Linked DNA regions of Sus scrofa. The protein of the gene in region 1 interacts with the protein of each later gene in a pairwise test. Links are inferred from orthologs where the notes say so. Each region holds a gene or a part of one and is shown in the gene's direction. Other genes may lie near its edges. The genes, in order: myomegalin, IMMT and SNCA.

Region 1 (3,650 bases):
AGTCCTGCAGCAGCCTCCTGGCTGGTCTTCCCATTTCTGCTGGTGCTCTTCAACATTCAGCACAGAGCAGCTAGAGTGATCTTTTTTAAATTTAAATATGATTGATTTCTTCTCTGTTACAAACACTGCAGTCCATTTTCATTTCAATGAGAATGAAATCCACCTTCATTATCTCTGGTATACAGAAGCACATCTGATCTGGCCCCTGTCTTCCTCTCTAACTCATTGTCTATTACCATCCCCTTTGCCCCTTATGCTCTAGTCCTGTGCTGTCCAGCAAGGCTGCCCACTAGTTTTGTGTGGCTGTTTCATCTCATACCTGAAGTGCGGGTAGTCCAAACTGAAATACGCTGTGAGTGTGAAGTATACTCCTAATTTTAAAGACTTAGTATAGAAAGAATGTATGATAATATTTTAGATATATTAGGTCAAATAAAGTGTTTTATTGAAATTAAGTTTACCTGTTTATTTTTACTTTAGTCAGGAAAGATACTAGAAAATTTTAAGTTGCATATATGGCTCACTTATTTCTATTGGAAAGTGCTTCTCAAACCACTTAGGCCTTTCTCTTTCCCAGGTCATAGCTGCCCTAGGTCTTTTCCATTAGCTGTTCCTCTACCTAGACTATTTCTATTGATCTTTGCAGAGCTGGCTTCTTATCATGTAGATGTGTAGATCTCCACTTAAATGCTGCCTGATAGAGACCTTCCACAGATCTACCCATTTAGAATAATTTAATAGACACTGTCATACTTCCCTATTTTACAACATATGTCTTGTCACTGTCTTATATTTCCTTGTTCTTTTATTATGTAGCTCCACAGTCCTGTTCCCACAGTGCTTTGCATATTAGGGAACTTCATAGATGTTTTTAGAAAATGATAAACAGCACTGGAAAAATAGAAAAGATTTTTTTTTCTTCTTTTTTATTTTTTTTTTTTCCTAAAATCTTTATACTTCCAGTTCTGGCAGGAAGAGATTTAGGGTAAGCTGTAACCCCACTGCCTGGAAGGTGGTAATCAGAGAATTTGAATGTATAAGGTAAAGAAAAAATGAACAGCAATTGCCTTTTTTCTCTTCCTAAGGAATTTGTATTGTTCCTAATAGGGGTAGGGGCGGAGAGGGGCAGAGCAGGGAGAGAGGAGATGGGATTTAATGCCACAGTGAATTGCTCAAGTTTTATTTTTGTATCTTAGCTCATAATGAATATTAGGTACAGTTCAATAAGTTTATCTTTGTCTGATTGATCTCCCAAATATATGTGGTTTTTTTTCTCTCTCCTGAATCTTTTTGGTGAATTCATATTCTTATAAAACATACTTCCTTCTCAGACCACCATAGGTTTTTAAATTTGTTTTTATTTTTTTACTTTGTATTTTGAAATAATTCCAGACTTAGTAATGTCATAAATGAAGTACAGGAACTCCTAGACTCACCAATTGCTAATATTTACCCAGTTTCACCAGTTGCTAATATTTTGCTACATTTGCCTTATCACTCCCACTGTCTAGACCCTCTTTTTTAAAAATCCCTGAACTATTTGAGAATTAGGTGCAGATGCTATGCGTCTTTACACTCAATAAGCATGTATTTTCTAAAGACAAGGCCATCTCTTACATAAATACAGTACAATCACCAAATTTAGGACATTTAGTATTGATAAACTACTATTATCTAATGTATGTCCATATTCAAAATCTACCCATTTTTCCAGTAATGTGAATAGGCATGTTTGTAAGAAAAATAGTTGAACTGTAGCTTTTTCTCTCTTATGCACAGTATAAGTTTGATCCTTTGAATTGCCTGACTGAAAATAGGATAAAGTAAATATTTTTTAAAAGTCCTTCTTTCTAATCTCTGAATAATTTGCTTTAACTGAATAGTGTTTGTGCAGGCTCGTAGGGAAAGGTAGGTTGGGGAGCTAGGGAGTATGGGAAGGATGGAAGTAAATCAGCACTCACAATAAGGAAGAAGACTGTCTCCAGAAATTCATACTCATGATCCATACAAGAACCCTGGTTTTCAAAGTCTCTGGCCAAAGATGCCTAAGATATTTGAAGATTAAAATTAAAATGTATGGTTGGCTACATTTAACTCAGCTTACTTGTCTTGCTGCTGCTTCTAGCCTGTGACCATGACTGAAGAGTTACTCAAACAACAAAAGCTGAATTCAGATGAGACTGCTATAACTCAGCAGTCTGTATCTGATTCCCATTTGGCAGAACTCCAGGAAAAAATCCAGCAAACTGAGGCCACCAACAAGGTATGATTGGTACCATGCCCTTGGATCACAGGGTTTCCTGAGAATGTGACTGGCTCTAGCTGAGTCTGTTAATCTCTCTGAGTAGGACCTGGAAGATGGAGACTGTATGCCTGGTGCTCTGTGGAATATATGATTAAAAGTGTACTTCTTTCTTTATCTCTTATCAAGATTTTAGTCTGTTCTGCACAGATCAGAACTTCTGGTGCCTTTTGGGCCTAAATGCATTTTTTTTTAAACTGTATTAAGGCACTGAGACAGAAGGTTTATGCTTTTGATTTTAGTTTAACTTCTCACCCCTTTATAGCCCATAGATTTTTAACATCTGCTTAGAAGAAAATTCCCATAATATGGGATGCTGCACTCCTGGCCTGGTGTGCCCTTGTTGTGTCCTGTCCTGTAGTGGCTCCTTGGTCTTTATGTAAAAGATCCACAGTGACTTGTGTGGACAAGAGTCCAGTATGGCTGCCAGTATAGAGAAAGCACAGTGCGTGAGAATTGAAGCAAGAGAGTGTTGAAGGAAGTAGTTCATATTTCCCGCTCCTTTCTCTTGCTGATTAACTTAGGACTAGAATGGTTACTATATTGGGGAAAAAATAACAAGGTAATATTCCCTGAGAAATCCTTTAAACCTGGGATTGAAGAAGGACTTGAGAATTAGTTGTATTGGAGGTTAAACGAAATCATTGACCTAAGAAATTGCTTTTCTTTGCTGAATTCAGATTCTTCAAGAAAAACTGAATGAAATGAGCTGTGAACTAAAGTCTGCTCAGCAGTCATCTCAGAAGCAAGATAGTACAATTCAAAGCTTCAAGGAAACTCTGAAAAGCAGGGAAAGCGAGGTAAAATGTTTGGCCATCAAGGACCTATGAGGAAACATTTTTTTCCCATCAAAGTAGAAAGAATTCTGTAATTTATAGAAATGGATATTGTCAGACTAACAGAAAAATCATAGTGTCATCTGAATGGGTATTTTGGAGTAGTCTTGATGCTAAAATCTATACAGATGAGATAATGGAATGTTTATTTAGTTGGCTAATATGTTTGGTACTCCCTCTCTCATTTTCAGACTGAGGAGTTGTACCAGGTGATTGAAGGTCAAAACGAAACAATGGCAAAGCTTCGAGAAATGCTGCACCAGAGCCAGCTTGGACAACTGCATGTATGTGATGGTCACGGAGGACAGGAGGGGCAACCCAACTGTCAGTCATAGTCTTGATTTTGCTGGTCTTCTCGGCTGCTCAGTGCTTGCCCTCCTTGTGATAATGATTTCCACTCTCTTTTCAGACCTCTGAGGGTACTTCCCCAGCTCAGCAACAGGTGGCTCTGCTTGATCTTCAGAGTGCTTTATTCTGCAGCCAGCTTGAGATCCAGAAGCTTCAGAGGGTGG
Region 2 (2,979 bases), on another chromosome or scaffold:
GGAAATCTTGCAGAAAACTGAAATTTATTCCAAGATGAAAAGGTATATTGCTTTAAATTTTATTTGATGGGTCTTTTTCTGGGAGAAATGAACATAAAAGCTCTTAAGTACAAGATATTAAATACAATTATTTTCTAAAGTTGTCACTTTCTCCCTTTAATAGACTTTTTTCTTCTTCCTCTAATATTAGGTTCCACCTGTAAATTTATAGATTATACATCAAATATAAGCTTTAGGTAATTTCTGAAACCTTACACATAATGTAGGAGTTTCATGACACTTGCTTTGAGATGTCAAAGGCCCTCTTTGCTTTTGAAGGTATCAGCTGCTGGAAGACTTAGTGGCCCGATAAATGACATGCAGTGATTGAAGCAGCGTCACCTTTTTTCTGTGCACTTTTTATCATTTCAGGACCTATCTGAGAAACTCACTGAACAAGAATTACAGTTTCGTCGGCTCAGTCAAGAGCAAGTCGACAACTTCACTCTGGATATAAACACTGCCTATGCCAGACTGAGAGGAATCGAGCAGGCTGTTCAGAGTAAGTGCACAGGCCTGAGAGATGGTTTCAGTCAGCCCCACCTCTTAGGGTGATTTCTTATTACAAGGATCATGGTATATACATCGTTGACATTAGGGAATGAAGAGGCCCAAGTCACTCTTATTGAACTATATTCATCTCTTGGAAAATTAGCCCCAGATTTGATAAGTTTGGAACACAGTTGTGAGAAGAAATGAAAAAGAATCTAGCTTGAGGTTTTTACTCCCTTATGTGGTGACAGGCAAGAGGTCACCATTTACAAGGCAGTTTACCCAACACTCTGGTTATGTCTCACGTGCCCTGAGTGGAGCAGAACTGCGGTGTGCTGCATGCTTGTCCTCCAGGCTCTTGTCTTGTCTCCAGCCCTGCTGTTGGAGGCTTATCTGGAGGGTAGCTACAGGGGCCTCTCTGCCCTGTTGAAAGTGTAAAACGTCCTTATAGTGAAGATGTCAATGAAATGGGTTTCTTTGGGATGTGATGGAATTGTTTTTGGCAGATGAGTGTAAGAGTAAGCTAAGTACCCATAAAATGTCCAGATCCAGTCGTCTTCCATTCCTATCCATGAAGTTTCTGATGGCCTTAGTTATTATGTCTTAGCCTCGTTTATCCTTTCTTTCTCAAATATTTCTAAAGATAAATACATCTGGTATCTGTTGTCTTAAATGTCACAAGAAGAGGGAAGGGAGACTCAGCTGTGCTTGTGCACACATCCTCCCAGCTTTGTCCATGGTTTTAGTTAAAATAAGTCCTCATCAGATTATGTCAAGCCCTGTCGCCTCATGTGAAGAGGTCTGCTAGGAAAAACGCATCACAAGTAGTGGTGGGATGGGCTTGGAAGAAAGAGGCCGTCTCCGGCTCCACCTTTCTCTTTATTTAGCTTGTTGAAGGCATATCAGTTCTCTGGATATATGAGACGGTTGTGTGGTCAGGTGGAGAAAAAGTCTTTGCTTTTTTTCCCCCCAACAGGTCATGCAGTAGCTGAAGAGGAGGCCAGAAAAGCCCACCAACTCTGGCTCTCGGTGGAGGCATTAAAGTACAGCATGAAGACGGCGTCCCCAGATCTGCCCACTGTTCCCCTGGGGAGCGCGGTCGAGGCCGTCAGAGCCAGCTGCTCCGATTCTGAATTTACCCAGGCTCTAACCGCAGCTCTCCCTCCAGAGTCCCTGACCCGAGGCGTGTATAGTGAAGAGACCCTTAGAGTCCGTTTCTATGCCGTCCAGAAACTGGCCCGAAGAGTAGCCATGATTGATGAGACCAGAAATAGCTTATACCAGTACTTCCTCTCCTACTTACAGTCCCTGCTCCTGTTCCCACCTCAGCAGCTGAAGCCACCGGCAGAGCTCTGCCCTGAGGATACCAGCACATTTAAATTACTGGCCTATGCCTCCTATTGCATTGAGCATGGTGACCTGGAGCTGGCAGCTAAGTTTGTCAATCAGCTGAAAGGGGAGTCCAGACGCGTGGCCCAGGACTGGCTGAAGGAGGCCCGAATGACCCTAGAAACTAAGCAGATAGTGGAAATCCTGACGGCATACGCCAGCGCCGTAGGCATAGGAACCACCCAAGTGCAGCAAGAGTGAGGGCTAGGAGGTCTCACAGTCACACTTCAGGTCAGAGGAAATGAGTAATATGTGACGGGTTTGCAACAGGGCCTACAAGTGAGGTTACAAGTACTGTTCTCTGTGTTCACGCCTGTCGCATTTGTATTATTTCCTCTTGCTATCATGTCAGTCAACTCCAGGAGTACTTTATTTGCAACTTGTGTAACATTTTCTGTTTTTCAGGTTTTACTGATCAGGCTTGCGAGCCAATCAAAATGATGTTTGTGATCACTATTACTATTGATTTTGCCCTTGGAGCAAACTGAATAAAAACAGAAAGGTGAAAACTTTTTGTAGCTTTTCCCTTTTCAAAAAATGCAACTTCTGGGAGTTCCTGTGGTGGCAGAGGAAACGAATCTGATTAGCATCCATGGGGACACAGGTTCGATCCCTGGCCTCACTCAGTGGGTTAAAGATCCAGCACTGCTATGAGCTGTGGTGTAGGTTGCAGACACAGCTAGGATCCCAAATTGCTGTGGCTGTGTTGTAGGCTAGCAGCTGCAGCTCCAGTACCACCCCTAAAAATCTGTATTGTAGGAAATTGGAGATTGGGAGAAGCAGCAACAGCAGAAGTAGGAACTTATGGGCAGTTGGTTTCCAGGCTGGGGACTAGGCCCCAGAAATACTCTAGGCCTGTTCTTGGCTGGTTGTGGTGAACTGATTCCTCCCAGTCAAACTCAATAGTTATGTACAAACCAAAATGCCAATGCATTTACAGCTGTACATGCACCATTCTAGTGATTTCAAAGGCACCAGGAGTACTATGTATCCCAAACTTTTTTGACTGCTACCACAGGAAGAAGTTGTATTTTATGTTGGGACCCATTCAGCCAGACA
Region 3 (4,153 bases), on another chromosome or scaffold:
ATAGTATTGTTTATTTTAAAAGATTTATATTTTATGGATGCAGGGTTAAATATTTACAGATGAAAAGACATATATAATTCTTGGGATTTAGTAAAAATTGGGGGAAGGAGTAGTGATAAATATAGGGAATAGACAAGAATGCAGATGCACGTGGTTGACTGCATTAGAAAACAATGGAAGGAGTTCCCGTCGTGGCGCAGTGGTTAACGAATCCGACTAGGAACCATGAGGTTGCAGGTTCGGTCCCTGCCCTTGCTCAGTGGGTTAACGATCCTGCGTTGCCGTGAGCTGTGGTGTAGGTTGCAGACGCGGCTCGGATCCCGCGTTGCTGTGGCTCTGGCGTAGGCCGGTGGCTACAGCTCCGATTCAACCCCTAGCCTGGGAACCTCCATATGCCACGGGAGCGGCCCAAGAAATAGCAACAACAACAATAACAACAACAACAACAACAAAAAAAAAAAAAAAGAAGAAAGAAAACAGTGGAAGCTGGGTGATATTCCATGGAGAGTCCTTTATTCTATTTTTGTTTTTGTTTTGCTTTTTAGGGGTGCACCCGCAGTATATGGAAGTTCCCAGGCCAGGGGTGGCTGGACCTGTAGCTACTGGCCTATACTACTACTACAGCCACAGCAACACCAGATCCCAGCCCTATCCCTGACCCACACTGCAGCTCATGGCAATGCAGGATCCTGAACCCATTAAGTGAGGCTGGGGATGGAACCCGCATCCCCACGGATACTAGTTGGGTTTGTCACTGCTGAGCCACAACAGGAATTCCTATTCTCTCCATTCTTGTATGTTTGAACATTTCCCATAATAAAAAGTTGAAAAGAGAGGGATCATCTTGGTTCCTCTCCCTTTACAAGAGAAAACTGAACATAACTTGTATTGGCTCTCAAAGCCAAAAAGCAAACCAACTTCCAAGTTTCCTTCCAAGTTCCCCAGGAAACAAAATAGGAGCGTTTTTAGAAAGCCTACTTTTTAAAAGGGCCGACCATCAGTGCAAGGAGTAGGTTAAGCAATATATATACTTGCTTCCCATCTCTTTGGGTTTCAAACTGTTGTTTTTGTAGATTTAAATTACTTTTTACTCACATTCCAGAATGTGAGTCCAAGGATCAGAGAAATTCCCCCCCACACACACACAAATAAACACAAGACAAGCAAAAAAAAAAAAAAAAATCTGCAAAGACCTGTTTTTTCCCCTTCCAGTTCTAAAAGCATCCTCCTATTCCAGGCAAAGCAAGCAGAGGCAGTCTGTTAGGGGGAGGAGCTTGGTTCTCCATTCCGGTGTGATCCAGGAACAGCTGTTTTCCCTCCAGCTCTGAAAGGTGAAACTGTGTCAAGCAATGCAAAAATTGTCTTGAAGCTCGTGCATGTGTATGTCTGTGTGTCTGTGTGTGGGATGGGGTAGCCTGTCAGCCCCGAGGACAACGTGAATCAGTAGTCGGAAAGGTGAGTGGTATGTGGAATCTCTCTTTTCAGAAGGGGCCCATGAAATTGGATATGACGGTTCAGGAGACTCAGTCACTCTGGATTTATCTCTTCCATCCAGGAACAGGAATCTGGAAAGTAAATCCCATTCTGAGAACAAAACGCCTTACAGCCGCTGGGTTTCGACGGCTGGGGAATATTTATTCCTTGATCCACTGATGGGAAAAATCAGCGTCTGGCAGCCGCTGATTGGTGGAAAGAAAATGGTGATAGTGGGGTGGGAAGAGGATTTGACGAGCCTCCTCCTGCCTCCTCAACCTGTAACTCATCCTTACTAGTCGCCTCTCCACCTGCCGGACCACTTCGGGCTCAGGAGAGGTTAAGAACAAACGTTAAATCCGGAGAATAGTTAAACAAAAGCTTCGTTAACATTGTGTCCTAAGGACCCTTCATCCAATTTCAGTGATGCGAGGGAAACCTGCGCTTGGTCCTGATGCGGGTACCTTCCGAAGCTACCTGTCTCCTTTAGCAGCTCCCCGAAAGACTGGCGCTATTTTGGTGGTAGAGCCCTCAGACCCCACTTCCCCGGGCTGGCTCATGACGTGGGGGTCCGCAGGAAAAACCGGGGGGAAAGGCGGAGACTGGGAAGGAGGGGGGATGGGGAGAGAGAAACAGACATCAGACATCAGCCCAAGCCTCAGAGCTCCGGATCGCCGCCAGAGCCCGGGCGCCCCTGAACTTGAGGTGAACCGCCCAACACCCCACCTTCCAGTCTCCCAAGCCCAGGCGGGCGGCTGGCGTTGGAGGTACAGCCTCCCACCACCCCCATCCGAGAAGAGGAGTGAAGTGCACGCGGCGGGGAAAGCAACGCGCGCAGGGAGCGGGGCGGGGAGCGGCGCTGACAAATCCGCTGCGGGGGCGGGGAGCGGAGGAGAAGGAGGAGGAAGACGAGGAGAAGGACCGAGACCACTAGAAGGGGACCCAGGAGAGGGGGCGAGAGACAGAGCGCAGCGACGTGGGGGTGAGGTGTGTGCTGGCTTTGGAGCAGACCCGGGGACCGCGCCTTGCCTTTGGCAGCCTTGGCGCTCTTTCGCCGCCTTCCCTTCCTCCCTTCTTCTGCCTGGAATCCTCTCGTGCGGGGGACGGGGAGTGGCGATTCGACGACAGGTTCGCGGGTTCCCTCCCACGCCCCCAGCCTCTCCCCCCAGGGTTGTGCCGACAGCCGCCTCCGCTGAGGGCCATCCCTCTCCTGGTGCCGCCTCCACCCTTCCTGTGCGCTCCTATCCTCCTCCCTCCCATTTAAATAATATTTAGGAATTGTTTTTAAAATTTTTTAAGTGGGTGCGGGGAGGATCGGAGTTCTCAGGAGCCAAGGGAATCAGGTAAGTACCTGTGAATCTAAGTGGGCAGCTTGGGAAATCTTGGAGAAAACCTGGTGGGAGAAGAGTCATTGCGGCGCCTGGGGGGGGGGGGGGGTTAGTGCTGCGGTGAGGACCTGCCATAGTCGAGTCTCTCTTAGAGGTGGGCACTGACCCCTTTGGTGAGCTTGAGGAAAGTAAATTGACTCGGCTTACCTCTCTTCTCGTCCTCAAAGGCTGAGCGGTCTGGATTCTCCGGGATACGCTTTTCCTTTGGGAAAGTCGAGGATGCTCGAAGGATTATAACTATTCAACTTTTATTTCTTACTTTCCTTAAATCCCCCAGCCCACCCTCTCTGTTCTCTCTGTAAAGTAAGCAAGCTGTATTGGGCAAGCCTTTAAATGGAAGCGCAGAGAGAGCAAGTCAACAGGTGGGAAGGGGTTAACAGGTGCTGGGCGCCGGGTGGGTGGCGGGTTCAGCGGGCTAACTCCACCTCTGGCAGCTGGCGCGCATCCGGAGACTGCCTGCAGGTGTGAACGCTCCTGCTTGCCTGCTCAGGGTAGACAGCTGAAGGTGGGGTACAGCGTCCAGTGGGTGAGAGCCACTGCAGGTGGGCTTGCAGTTGGCCTGGGGTTCAGCCACACCCAGAGTGAGTGGTTCTCTTCCCACCCCTCTTCCTGATCAACCTGTTAGCTGTTTGGGGGATTTATTTTGAGTATCTCTGACCCCCCCTCCTCCAGCTCCTTTTTCCGTTTCCTGTGATCTGTCTTCTAAACGCACTTCTAACTTAACACCTTCATCGTTTGGACCCTGGGAAATTGAAAGGGGGGAGGGGGTAAGTCCTTTCATGTAACTCCACTTGGAATGCGGTGAGAACAACTCAGATGATTCATCCCAATCCATGTTTAGGAGGCTAGACTTCCACCAAACAAGATGGATGGGAGATGCTAAATTTTTAATGCAAAAGCTAAAAAAAGGCTGCTTTGTCCAGTGGTTGAAACAGAGGTACACCTACAAGAGTCCTGCATTTTTTTTGGGGGGGGGCGGGGGAGTCTACTGATCTTTCAGTGATTTTTACCTTGGGTGGTTCTAATTTCGTTTTGTTTTACCCCAAAGTTCTCAAAGTGTATTTTGTGTTCTCCAGTGTGGTGTAAAGGAATTCATTAGCCATGGATGTATTCATGAAAGGACTTTCAAAAGCCAAGGAGGGAGTCGTGGCTGCTGCTGAAAAAACCAAACAGGGTGTGGCAGAAGCAGCGGGAAAGACAAAAGAGGGTGTGCTCTATGTAGGTAGGTAAGCCCTAGATGTCAATTTGAAATTTATTTATGACTGGTGGGTTAGGGTGATTGATGCCTTAAA

The links.
Region 2: the proteins of myomegalin (region 1) and IMMT interact in a two-hybrid assay, tested with the Homo sapiens proteins (2 studies listed by BioGRID and IntAct, with this or other methods). The link is inferred for Sus scrofa from reciprocal best matches to the Homo sapiens genes PDE4DIP and IMMT.
Region 3: the proteins of myomegalin (region 1) and SNCA interact in a two-hybrid assay, tested with the Homo sapiens proteins (2 studies listed by BioGRID and IntAct). The link is inferred for Sus scrofa from reciprocal best matches to the Homo sapiens genes PDE4DIP and SNCA.

The regions. Positions count from the first base shown.
Region 1 is NC_010446.5:100,720,563-100,724,212, reverse strand, and holds part of myomegalin, read left to right. Parts: intron 1-2,125; coding exon 2,126-2,263; intron 2,264-2,982; coding exon 2,983-3,102; intron 3,103-3,329; coding exon 3,330-3,422; intron 3,423-3,547; coding exon 3,548-3,650. UniProt on the Homo sapiens protein: Functions as an anchor sequestering components of the cAMP-dependent pathway to Golgi and/or centrosomes.
Region 2 is NC_010445.4:58,629,909-58,632,887, forward strand, and holds the end of IMMT (MICOS complex subunit MIC60), read left to right. Parts: intron 1-411; coding exon 412-541; intron 542-1,507; coding exon 1,508-2,121; 3' UTR 2,122-2,429; downstream 2,430-2,979. UniProt on the Homo sapiens protein: Component of the MICOS complex, a large protein complex of the mitochondrial inner membrane that plays crucial roles in the maintenance of crista junctions, inner membrane architecture, and formation of contact sites to the outer membrane.
Region 3 is NC_010450.4:129,246,471-129,250,623, forward strand, and holds the start of SNCA (alpha-synuclein), read left to right. Parts: upstream 1-1,253; 5' UTR 1,254-1,331; exon of another isoform or gene 1,332-1,455; intron 1,456-2,088; exon of another isoform or gene 2,089-2,816; intron 2,817-2,933; exon of another isoform or gene 2,934-2,955; intron 2,956-3,304; exon of another isoform or gene 3,305-3,628; intron 3,629-3,705; exon of another isoform or gene 3,706-3,798; intron 3,799-3,937; 5' UTR 3,938-3,962; coding exon 3,963-4,083; intron 4,084-4,153. UniProt on the Homo sapiens protein: Neuronal protein that plays several roles in synaptic activity such as regulation of synaptic vesicle trafficking and subsequent neurotransmitter release.